Linked DNA regions of Rattus norvegicus. The protein of the gene in region 1 interacts with the protein of each later gene in a biochemical or structural test. Links are inferred from orthologs where the notes say so. Each region holds a gene or a part of one and is shown on either strand. Other genes may lie near its edges.

Region 1 (4,962 bases):
TTTACACAAACTTGCAGTCATGGAAAGATGCAGATGTGTGAACTGAAAAATAGCAATGCAGTATGGTAAGGTGCAGTATAATGGCTGTGGTGGCATCCCTTGGGGCTGTTGAAGAAGTGGGAATTCTGCAGTGGCAGGAAAGGGCTGGGAGAAGGTGTGCAGATGCCGAGCCAAGGAATGGGATGATGATGGCCTTATATTCCTTGTTTTCTGAACTTATTTTCTAGGCTTGCACTCTACCATCTGTTTCTGAAGAACTTGTTTTATGAATTTGTAGTAAGTGTAACAAAGATGCTAAGTATGAGGAAGAGGGCAAATGCATTTTGGTTAAGTGAACACATGACTCCTGTTTGTAGAATTCTCAGAGCTTTTATAAAGTTACTACCAGATCCTGTGACTGTAGAGGGTTAGGCTAGGCATAGCATGTAGTGTTTCTCTGCTTGACTCTGTACCAACATTTTCTCTAAGAACATCCAGGGACACAGTCTTAAGGTACGTTTGTGGAAATCCTGAGTTTTAAAGTGGGATAAGATGTGATTGGATTCTTAATTTCTGGGGAAACTGGAAGGAGTGCATGGTGTGTCTGAGACAAGAGGGGAGGCAGGCACCCTGAGGAGCTGTTGTTCCTGGAGGTCAGCAGAAGCGTGATGGAGTCTGAGGTAGAAGTGGCACAGGAGGCACAGCTTTAGAGACTCAGGCACGGTAGTGCTGGAGCTGTGAGCACAACGTTTAAGGCGCTTACCGAGGAGCTAGCTCCGTGTTTCTAGCATGGGGCCGTGGGACTCAGGATGGAGGTGTAGGTCACAGTCTCACTTGTTTATAAGCGCTTTCTACTCTGAACCTCTGGCTGGCTTTTGTTTTGAGCACCCATCTCTGCTCAGTACAGGGTATAAAATGTCCTGTGTAAGTTAACGGATCTGTTCTTGTCATCCTGTGCAGGAAGGACCTAGTCACAGTGCTGAAGCTGTGTCAATTCAGGACGCCATGAGTGTGGAAGAGGCTTCTGGTTTCCATCCACTGGAGCCAATGCTCTGCAGTGAAACAGAGGACGGGCAGGTGCCACATTCCCTAGAGGCCCTGTACCAGTCAGCCGGCTGCTCCACCGTCAGTGATGCCTTGATAGTGCTGGTGCATCTCCTTATGCTTGAGTCGGGCTACATACCTCAGGTAAGTGCCACCCGAACCTCTTAGGGCGTGGGGTGGTGTGAATACACTTGGCCCAGGGAGTGGCACTATTAGGAGGTACGACCTTGTTGGAGGAAGTGTGTCAAGGTGGGGTGGGCTGGGAGACCCTCCTCCTAGCTGCCTGAGGATGGTCAGTCTGTTCCTGGCTTCCTTCAGGTGAAGATGTAGAACTCTCAGCTCCTCCTGCACCAGGCCTGCCTAGACACTGCCATGCTCCTGCCTTGATGATAATGGACTGAACCTCTGAACCTATAAGCCAGCCCAAATTAAATGCTATCCTATAAGAGTTGCCTTGGTCATAGTGTCTGTTTAGAGCAGTAAAACCCTAACTAAAACATGAGACCTCACTAGGCACCTCAGTCACTAGGGCATTGTGGTGGTCCATCTTTCTTTACTAAATGTGATTGGTTCTTGAATATCAAATGTCAGAAATAGTAAGGGGTTGTCACAGGTACTCAGTAAATGCCCTTTGCAGCTTTCCTTCTTTTCCCATCATTTCCCTTGTTAGCATTTAGTATTACAGAGAGAATGGCAACTGGTCCAAAAAAAAAAGGACACAAGGCCTGTGTGCATACGGTCATGTTGAGAAGGCCTGTGTGCATACGGTCATGTTGAGAAGGCGTGTGTGCATATGGTCATGTTGAGAAGGCGTGTGTGCATACGGTCATGTTGAGAAGGCGTGTGTGCATACGGTCATGTTGAGAAGGCCTGTGTGCATACCGTCATGTTGAGAAGGCCTGTGTGCATATGGTCATGTTGAAATAAAGTGGCGGCAGTGGGGACGCGTCTGACCAGATGCTGGCTGACCAAGGTCTCACGCTCACGGCCTTGTGCTGTGGTTGCTTTCCTTCATTAACTTCATTCAGCATGGCTTCGTGCAGCATCTGCTGATGCAGTGAGGTGATTTCCTTCCTGCTCTTAGCTCTCTGTTTCCAGTTCCTGATAGTCTGAGAATAGACAAGGGTTTAGATCATTTTAGTTTATTGTGTAAGTTCTAGGAGAGACATTTGCACATGCGGAGTGCCTGGGACTCTGAAAGAGCAGTTAGAGGAGAGCTGAGGAATACAGGGACCGCATTGGAGCACAGATTCTGACCTAGTAAGCTCAGGGTGGGGCTGAGCGTCTTGCGTACTCTGGCCTGTCCCCTGTACTGCTGGCCTGTACACATTCCTTGTGGCCATGGGATGGAGTACAGAGATGAGGAGTAGCCCAAGACCATTGTGCGCCTGTGCACACTGTACGCACAGGCGCACGTTTCTCAGAGTTCACAGATGAGCACAAAAGACCAGATAGATATAACATACTACAAATAACAGTGTAAATTGACAGAGCACTACAAATATGCAGTGACACAAATGTGAACAAAATGTTAGAAAATGACTTTTCTGGAAAAGGGCTGTATGAGGGAAATGCTGTTCTCCCTGCGGTCTTGAATAACGAACGATTTGTCTTTGCTAGGTAGAAAATGTGAGTCTTAGAAGAGAAAAATTAAGCCTTATTTCTATGATGTCATTGTATATTAAAACAAAAATTTTGATAGACAAATATTATAACCTATTATCCTCCTAGTAGCAATATTAATGATGTGCATATTCTGTTAAGGGGGCTATATGTATCTTTTAAAAAATGTGTATGATGTGTGTGTGTGGGGGCGTGTCATGCGACATAGCATGTGTGGCAGGCAGGCAGCAGAGTTCCGTGGACTTGGTTCTCTGCCTTCTTTCCTTTATGTGGGTTTCAAGGCTCCACCTTGGGTGATGGCTTCTGTGACAGACACTTTACCTGCTGAGTCATGTCAGCGGCTCAAGGGGGCTACATTGCACAGTAAGTTAGGGCTGTTACTGATTTTCAGGTTTTTCAGCACAATACCTTTCTTCATTATTATTCTTTCATCTCATTCCTCAGGGGACTGAAGCCAAAGCAGCATCCATGCCTGAGAAATGGAAGTCAAGTGGCGTATACAAGCTCCAGTACACACATCCTCTCTGTGAGGGCGGCTCTGCCGTGCTTACCTGTGTACCTTTGGGAAAGCTCATCATGATAAACGGTAATGGAGCAGAGCGTCATGCTGGCGCCTTGTGAATTAAGTACTTTATTCCTAACAGTCTGTAGCCACTCGAGTGGGTGCCGAGTCATTCACATCTTAATTACTGTATGCCTGAAGACTTAAAATTAGAGGATGTTGGTTTAGGACAGCACCCTTCACTTTTGGGGTAGCCTCCTTGTTCTCTTTTTAAATGTCTGTTATAGTTTTACTTTATGTTTTGAGTGTTTTACCTGCATTTGTGTCTGTGCATCATCTCATACATATGGTGCCTGTGGAAGCCAGAAAAGGTGTCAGATCCCTTGGAATTGGTGTTAAAGATGCTGCCAGCTTCCAGGTGTGTGCTGGGAATTGAACGAGGGTCCTCTGTAAGAGTAGCCAGTGCCTGTAACTTAACTGCAGAGCCACCTCTCCAGCCTCAGCTTTTTTGTGATGTGTCAATCTTTGATCCCTTTGTTCTGTGAGCTGTGGTAGTAGAAATGAGTGGGTTTTACTGTGGATGAACTATTGGAGTAGGTTTTTGTGCACATCTGTGAATGTCTCTTCTAATTACCTTCCTTAGCCTCTAACCTGTGGTGAGGAAGTCGGCATCTCTGAACTGCTGAGGTTTTGCAGCCATGGTATGCACAGTTTAGCTGCCCGTCCTCACGGAAGTCCTCTGAATGACCTCTCTGCTCTCCCCTTTCCTAGAGGGAAGCTGCACTGAGGTGGCAGTGTGTTTCTGGATCATGTTAGTCATGATGTCACACAGGTCCTTCCCAACCACCACTGCTTTCTGGAATGTTCTCCTGATCTCACATTAGGAGATCCATTTGGGTGACCAGGATCTTACATTTCAGTCTGATCTTTTTTTTTTTTTTTTAAATATATTTTTGAAATTGGGTCTGTATACCCTAAACTGAGCTCAAATTCTTTATGTAGCCGAAGCTCTGGGGTGGTGGGTGACTCCCACCTCACTGGGCTAACACTGTTTGGGTTTTGAGGTCATCCTTTTCAGATACTTAAGCTAGAAGAGAGTGCGGTAGATTGTGCTGTTTGTGGATTGTCTTGCTTTGCTGCCTTGGGTGAGGTTTGCACTGCTCCTTCAGCTGCTGTTCTGTTGAGATGACGTTTACTGAGGTCCAGTGTTACAGAACAGCCTTGTACTAAAATTTATTTTAAACGCTAACATTGCCTTTTTGCCTTTAGAATTAGAAGTTAATTCTTTGGTCCTCTCATGTAATTTTTTCGCTCATTTCCTTTTAATTGTTCAATTTTCTTAGCTGTTATAGGATTGAGCCTATGATTCTGCACGTTTGTCAGAATGTGGCTGACGGCTTGAGAGCCGAGTAGTGTCTGTTCGTTCTCACAGCTACTTTGCATAGCTTGCAGTTTGGCTTTTGTGCCCAGAGTAGCAGTGGTTTCTGTTTCTGTGTAGTCATCCCGATTTATCACATCACACCTGGGAAGATGAACATTCCCAAATGTTAATAACAAACGCGAGGTGGGGGGGGGTTACCTCAGTTTCATAGAAAAGTACCAATGACATGCCTATACTACCCTCTCCACTAAGTATTTTGGTGATTTCTTAGTTTATGGTATTTTTGTACTTTAATTATTTGCAGATCAGTACCTTGCAGGCTCCACAGTAGCTGGTTATTCCAGGCTCAAGTTTTTGAAAAGGAGCAGTGTCTTTAAATCTTTCCTTCACCCAGGGCATGGCTTGGTGCACGTGTGGATGAGCCCATCACTAG
Region 2 (4,003 bases), on another chromosome or scaffold:
TTAGCCATTCTCACTGGTGTGAGGTGAAATCTCAGGGTTGTTTTGATTTGCATTTCCCTTATGACTAAAGATGTTGAACATTTCTTTAGGTGTTTCTCAGCCATTCGGCATTCCTCAGCTGTGAATTCTTTGTTTAGCTCTGAACCCCATTTTTTAATAGGGTTATTTGTTTCCCTGCGGTCTAACTTCTTGAGTTCTTTGTATATTTTGGATATAAGGCCTCTATCTGTTATAGGATTGGTAAAGAACTTTTCCCAATCTGTTGGTTGCCGTTTTGTCCTAACCACAGTGTCCTTTGCCTTACAGAAGCTTTGCAGTTTTATGAGATCCCATTTGTCGATTCTTGATCTTAGAGCATAAGCCATTGGTGTTTTGTTCAGGAAATTTTTTCCAGTGCCCATGTGTTCCAGATGCTTCCCTAGTTTTTCTTCTATTAGTTTGAGTGTGTCTGGTTTGATGTGGAGGTCCTTGATCCACTTGGACTTAAGCTTTGTACAGGGTGATAAGGATGGATCGATCTGCATTCTTCTACATGTTGCCCTCCAGTTGAACCAGCACCATTTGCTGAAAATGCTATCTTTTTTCCATTGGATGGTTTTAGCTCCTTTGTCAAAAATCAAGTGACCATAGGTGTGTGGGTTCATTTCTGGGTCTTCAATTCTATTCCATTGGTCTATCTGTCTGTCTCTGTACCAATACCATGCAGTTTTTATCACTATTGCTCTGTAATACTGCTTTATACAAGCTTTCTTAATGGTTAACTTAATGTCTAACACTGACCGCTTCTCACAAAGCCCTTTTGTGCCTCTTGGTCTTTCTGTGCAAAAGACCTTTTCACTGCTTAACTCTCACTTCATCTTCAGTTCTATCTTATTCTTCAGACAGTTCTTCCTTGGTCCACTGTATTCATTTTCACTGATTGTATACATAAGGACTCTCTTAGATGAGACTTGATTCAAGCAGACTTGGACAGAAGGAGTTGACTGATTTATGTAACTCAACAGTCCAGGACTAGGGTGGTTTCAGGCACCTCCGTTTGCCCAGGTGTTTTTCAGCCTTTTCCTAGAGTCCTTTCTGGTACCACCTTCAAAATACCTTGTCCTGTCTGTAAGTGCATTGCCCAACAGCCAGGTGGATTCTTTTAAACCCTAATAAGTTTATTTCTCAAATCAATTTGCATTTGTCCTCCACTGTTAACCTTCTCGTTAGCACCTGATTTAAAGTAAAAGCTAAGGTCTTTGCCATGGTCCTGTAGACTTTCCACCTTCTGCCTCCTTCGCTTGACTTCAGCTCCTTCAATCCTCCTCTTTTTCTTTAGCCACAATGGCTTCTTGGCTGTGCCTGCACCATACCAAGCATGCTCCTACCTCAGCACTTTTGTATTGGTTCTTATTTGTGGTGGAACACTTATCTTCCATATCACCCCCACTAGGTGGGAGAGTTACACATCTGTAATCTCAGCAGTCTGGGCAGGAGGATCTTGAATTGGAAACCAGACTGGACTATATAGTCTCAAAAGGAAAGCTCTCAGTGAAGCCAAACCTGAACAATCTTCGAAACTGAAGCCTCCTCTTTCTACCTCTTCTTTAGTATTTAGTTCCTTATACTATTTATTTCCTTATACTTAACACATCATAATTGTGTTTGTATACTTTGTCTCTTAGTAAATGGCTTAGTGCTTAAGTGTACATACTGCTGTCCAGAGTAACTGAGTTCGGTTCCCAGCACCCATGTCAGGTAGCTCACAACCACCTGTATCTACAGCTCAAGGAATCTCATATCATCTAACATCTGTGGAAATCTACATTCATGGTATATTTCCCACACATATAACACAGATAATTAAAAACTAAAAATAAAGTTTTTTAAAGGAGCTCCAGGAAACCAAGAATTTAGTTTCATTTACTGCTGTTTCTGCTATTTCCCTATTTTAAGTTGCCTGGCATACAGAAGGCATTCAATAATCTTCCCTTCTTATCATCATATAGTCATTGTGATGGGTTTCATAAAGAGTTTCTTTCAAGTATATCACATAATTTGATCGTATTCATAGACCCATACCCCCACTTCCTTCATCCCCATAATCTTTTTTTTTTTTTTTTTTGGAGCTGAGGACCGAACCCAGGGCCTTGCGCTTGCTAGGCAAGCGCTCTACCACTGAGCTAAATCCCAAACCCCTCCCATAATCATTTTTTAACAATTGTTACTACATTTTTTTCTGAGTACATGTGAAGGTTTAAAATCAGTTCTCTCCTCCACTATGTGGATCCTGGATATTGAAATCAAGTTGGCCCTATCACCCTTGATCTTTAAATGGGGAAATTCCAAGAGGTAGCCAGACATCTCTGCATAGGATCAGGGCAGGTCATCCAGGATACAAGCGTTTCTTGAAGTGATGAGGAAGAGTCATCCTCACAGCCTTAAGTGGGGCCCATTTTGCCCTTTCTTGTTCCTTTTTTTTTCTAGGCTCAGCGACAGCCTCACCAAGGACTCCATGAATATCAAGGCCAATATCCACATGATGCTAGAGGTGAGAGCAGCTCACTCCACTCGACCCTTCAAATATATTTAGGGTGATAACCTGAAGACAGGAGAAATCCAAAGAAGGGAGGGGTCATCTTTCCTTCTAAATTAAAAACCAAAGGAGTGAAAATCAGAGCAAACCTGGGACAAGACCTAGACCCAGCCTCTGTTCAGTATACTTTGTCCTCTTTTACAGGGACTTAGAGAACTACAAGGCCTGCAGAATTTCCCAGAGCCATCTCCCCATTGACTGCATCTTCCCAGCCTCCAATATTAAACAGCCTGAATGCCTTGGAATCACATAGCCCTTTTTTCCCCTAATTTTCACTAATTGACTAAGTGCTCCAGAGACCAAAATTACTGGAAGACCCATCCTTTCTGTTGAACCTCTAAAACATTCTTGCCTTTAGAACATCTTGTATTTTCCTCCAGACTTTATGCTTTACCCTCTTTTGTCACCTTTCGAACCTTGACACTGCTCCTCACACTTTAATTCCTTTTCCTAGATATTTGTATTGGTGCCCTTTGTATTACCATAAAGAATGGACTGATTGGTGAGCTGAAGATGAGATTCAATTGGTAGAGTGCTTGCATATCACACATGAAACCTTAAATTCAGTCCCCAGTTCTGTGTACACAAGCTGGATGTGTGGCACACCTGTGACCAGGTCACTCAAAAGATAGAGGCAGAAGGATTTTTAAGTTTAAGGCAATCCTGGGCTACATGAGACCCTTGAAACAAATTTTTAAGGTTCCAGTTCAAAGTGATTTGTTTCCATGGCCCTCAGCTTTTTACTTCATATCCTAAGGGTTATTATGGTTTCACAATCCAGTGGTCATCCAGGTACCCTAAATATCATTACCACCCAACCCTTAATTTGGTCCCTAAATAGTGGTTCCAATAGTTCTAAATAGTTCTAGTTTCCACCCGTAGACAGATCCTGCCCTCCCTGCTACAGCCCCTACAGCCTAGGTTTTAGTCCAGTCTTAGATAACTAAGAACCAAATTCCATCTGTATAACTGACTGCAGCTTGCCTCTGCCCTTGTAGACAGTTAATTTCCACCTCTCAACTCCTCTGTATATCTGGCAGCCGCTCCTGCCTCCTCCCTCTGCTGGATTCTAAATTCGTCTTGCCTAGCTAATTACCATAGCTTTACCCTACCCGCCTACATAGCCCTACCCTGCTGCTATTCCCCTTTCTAAATAAGTCCTGTTTCCGCTGAACCGTTTGATGAGCAGCACCACCTACTTTTATGTTTTGGCCGCTGTCTGGGAGTTTCCACCAATCAGCTGAAAACAGAGCCCATCCAACCACCCCTCCATCCTCTGGGGCTGTCTGTCTGCCATCAATTCTCATTTAAGCCAATCGGTGTGAACTGGGCGACCTCCCTCGGCCCCGCCCCAACCTTGGCACTTGGCTAACCAGTCTTAGACCCAATCGGCATGAAGCACTAGCGCCGCCCAACACCTACGGATTC

The links.
Region 2: of the proteins of Fbxo7 (region 1) and Uxt, one has a biochemical effect on the other in vitro, tested with the Homo sapiens proteins (2 studies listed by BioGRID). The link is inferred for Rattus norvegicus from reciprocal best matches to the Homo sapiens genes FBXO7 and UXT.

The regions. Positions count from the first base shown.
Region 1 is NC_086025.1:19,714,317-19,719,278, reverse strand, and holds part of Fbxo7 (F-box only protein 7), read left to right. Parts: intron 1-939; coding exon 940-1,167; intron 1,168-3,090; coding exon 3,091-3,232; intron 3,233-4,962. UniProt on the Homo sapiens protein: Substrate recognition component of a SCF (SKP1-CUL1-F-box protein) E3 ubiquitin-protein ligase complex which mediates the ubiquitination and subsequent proteasomal degradation of target proteins and plays a role in several biological processes such as cell cycle, cell proliferation, or maintenance of chromosome stability.
Region 2 is NC_086039.1:3,689,125-3,693,127, forward strand, and holds the end of Uxt (protein UXT), read left to right. Parts: intron 1-2,466; coding exon 2,467-2,530; intron 2,531-2,719; coding exon 2,720-2,773; 3' UTR 2,774-2,820; downstream 2,821-4,003. UniProt on the Homo sapiens protein: Involved in gene transcription regulation. Acts in concert with the corepressor URI1 to regulate androgen receptor AR-mediated transcription. Together with URI1, associates with chromatin to the NKX3-1 promoter region.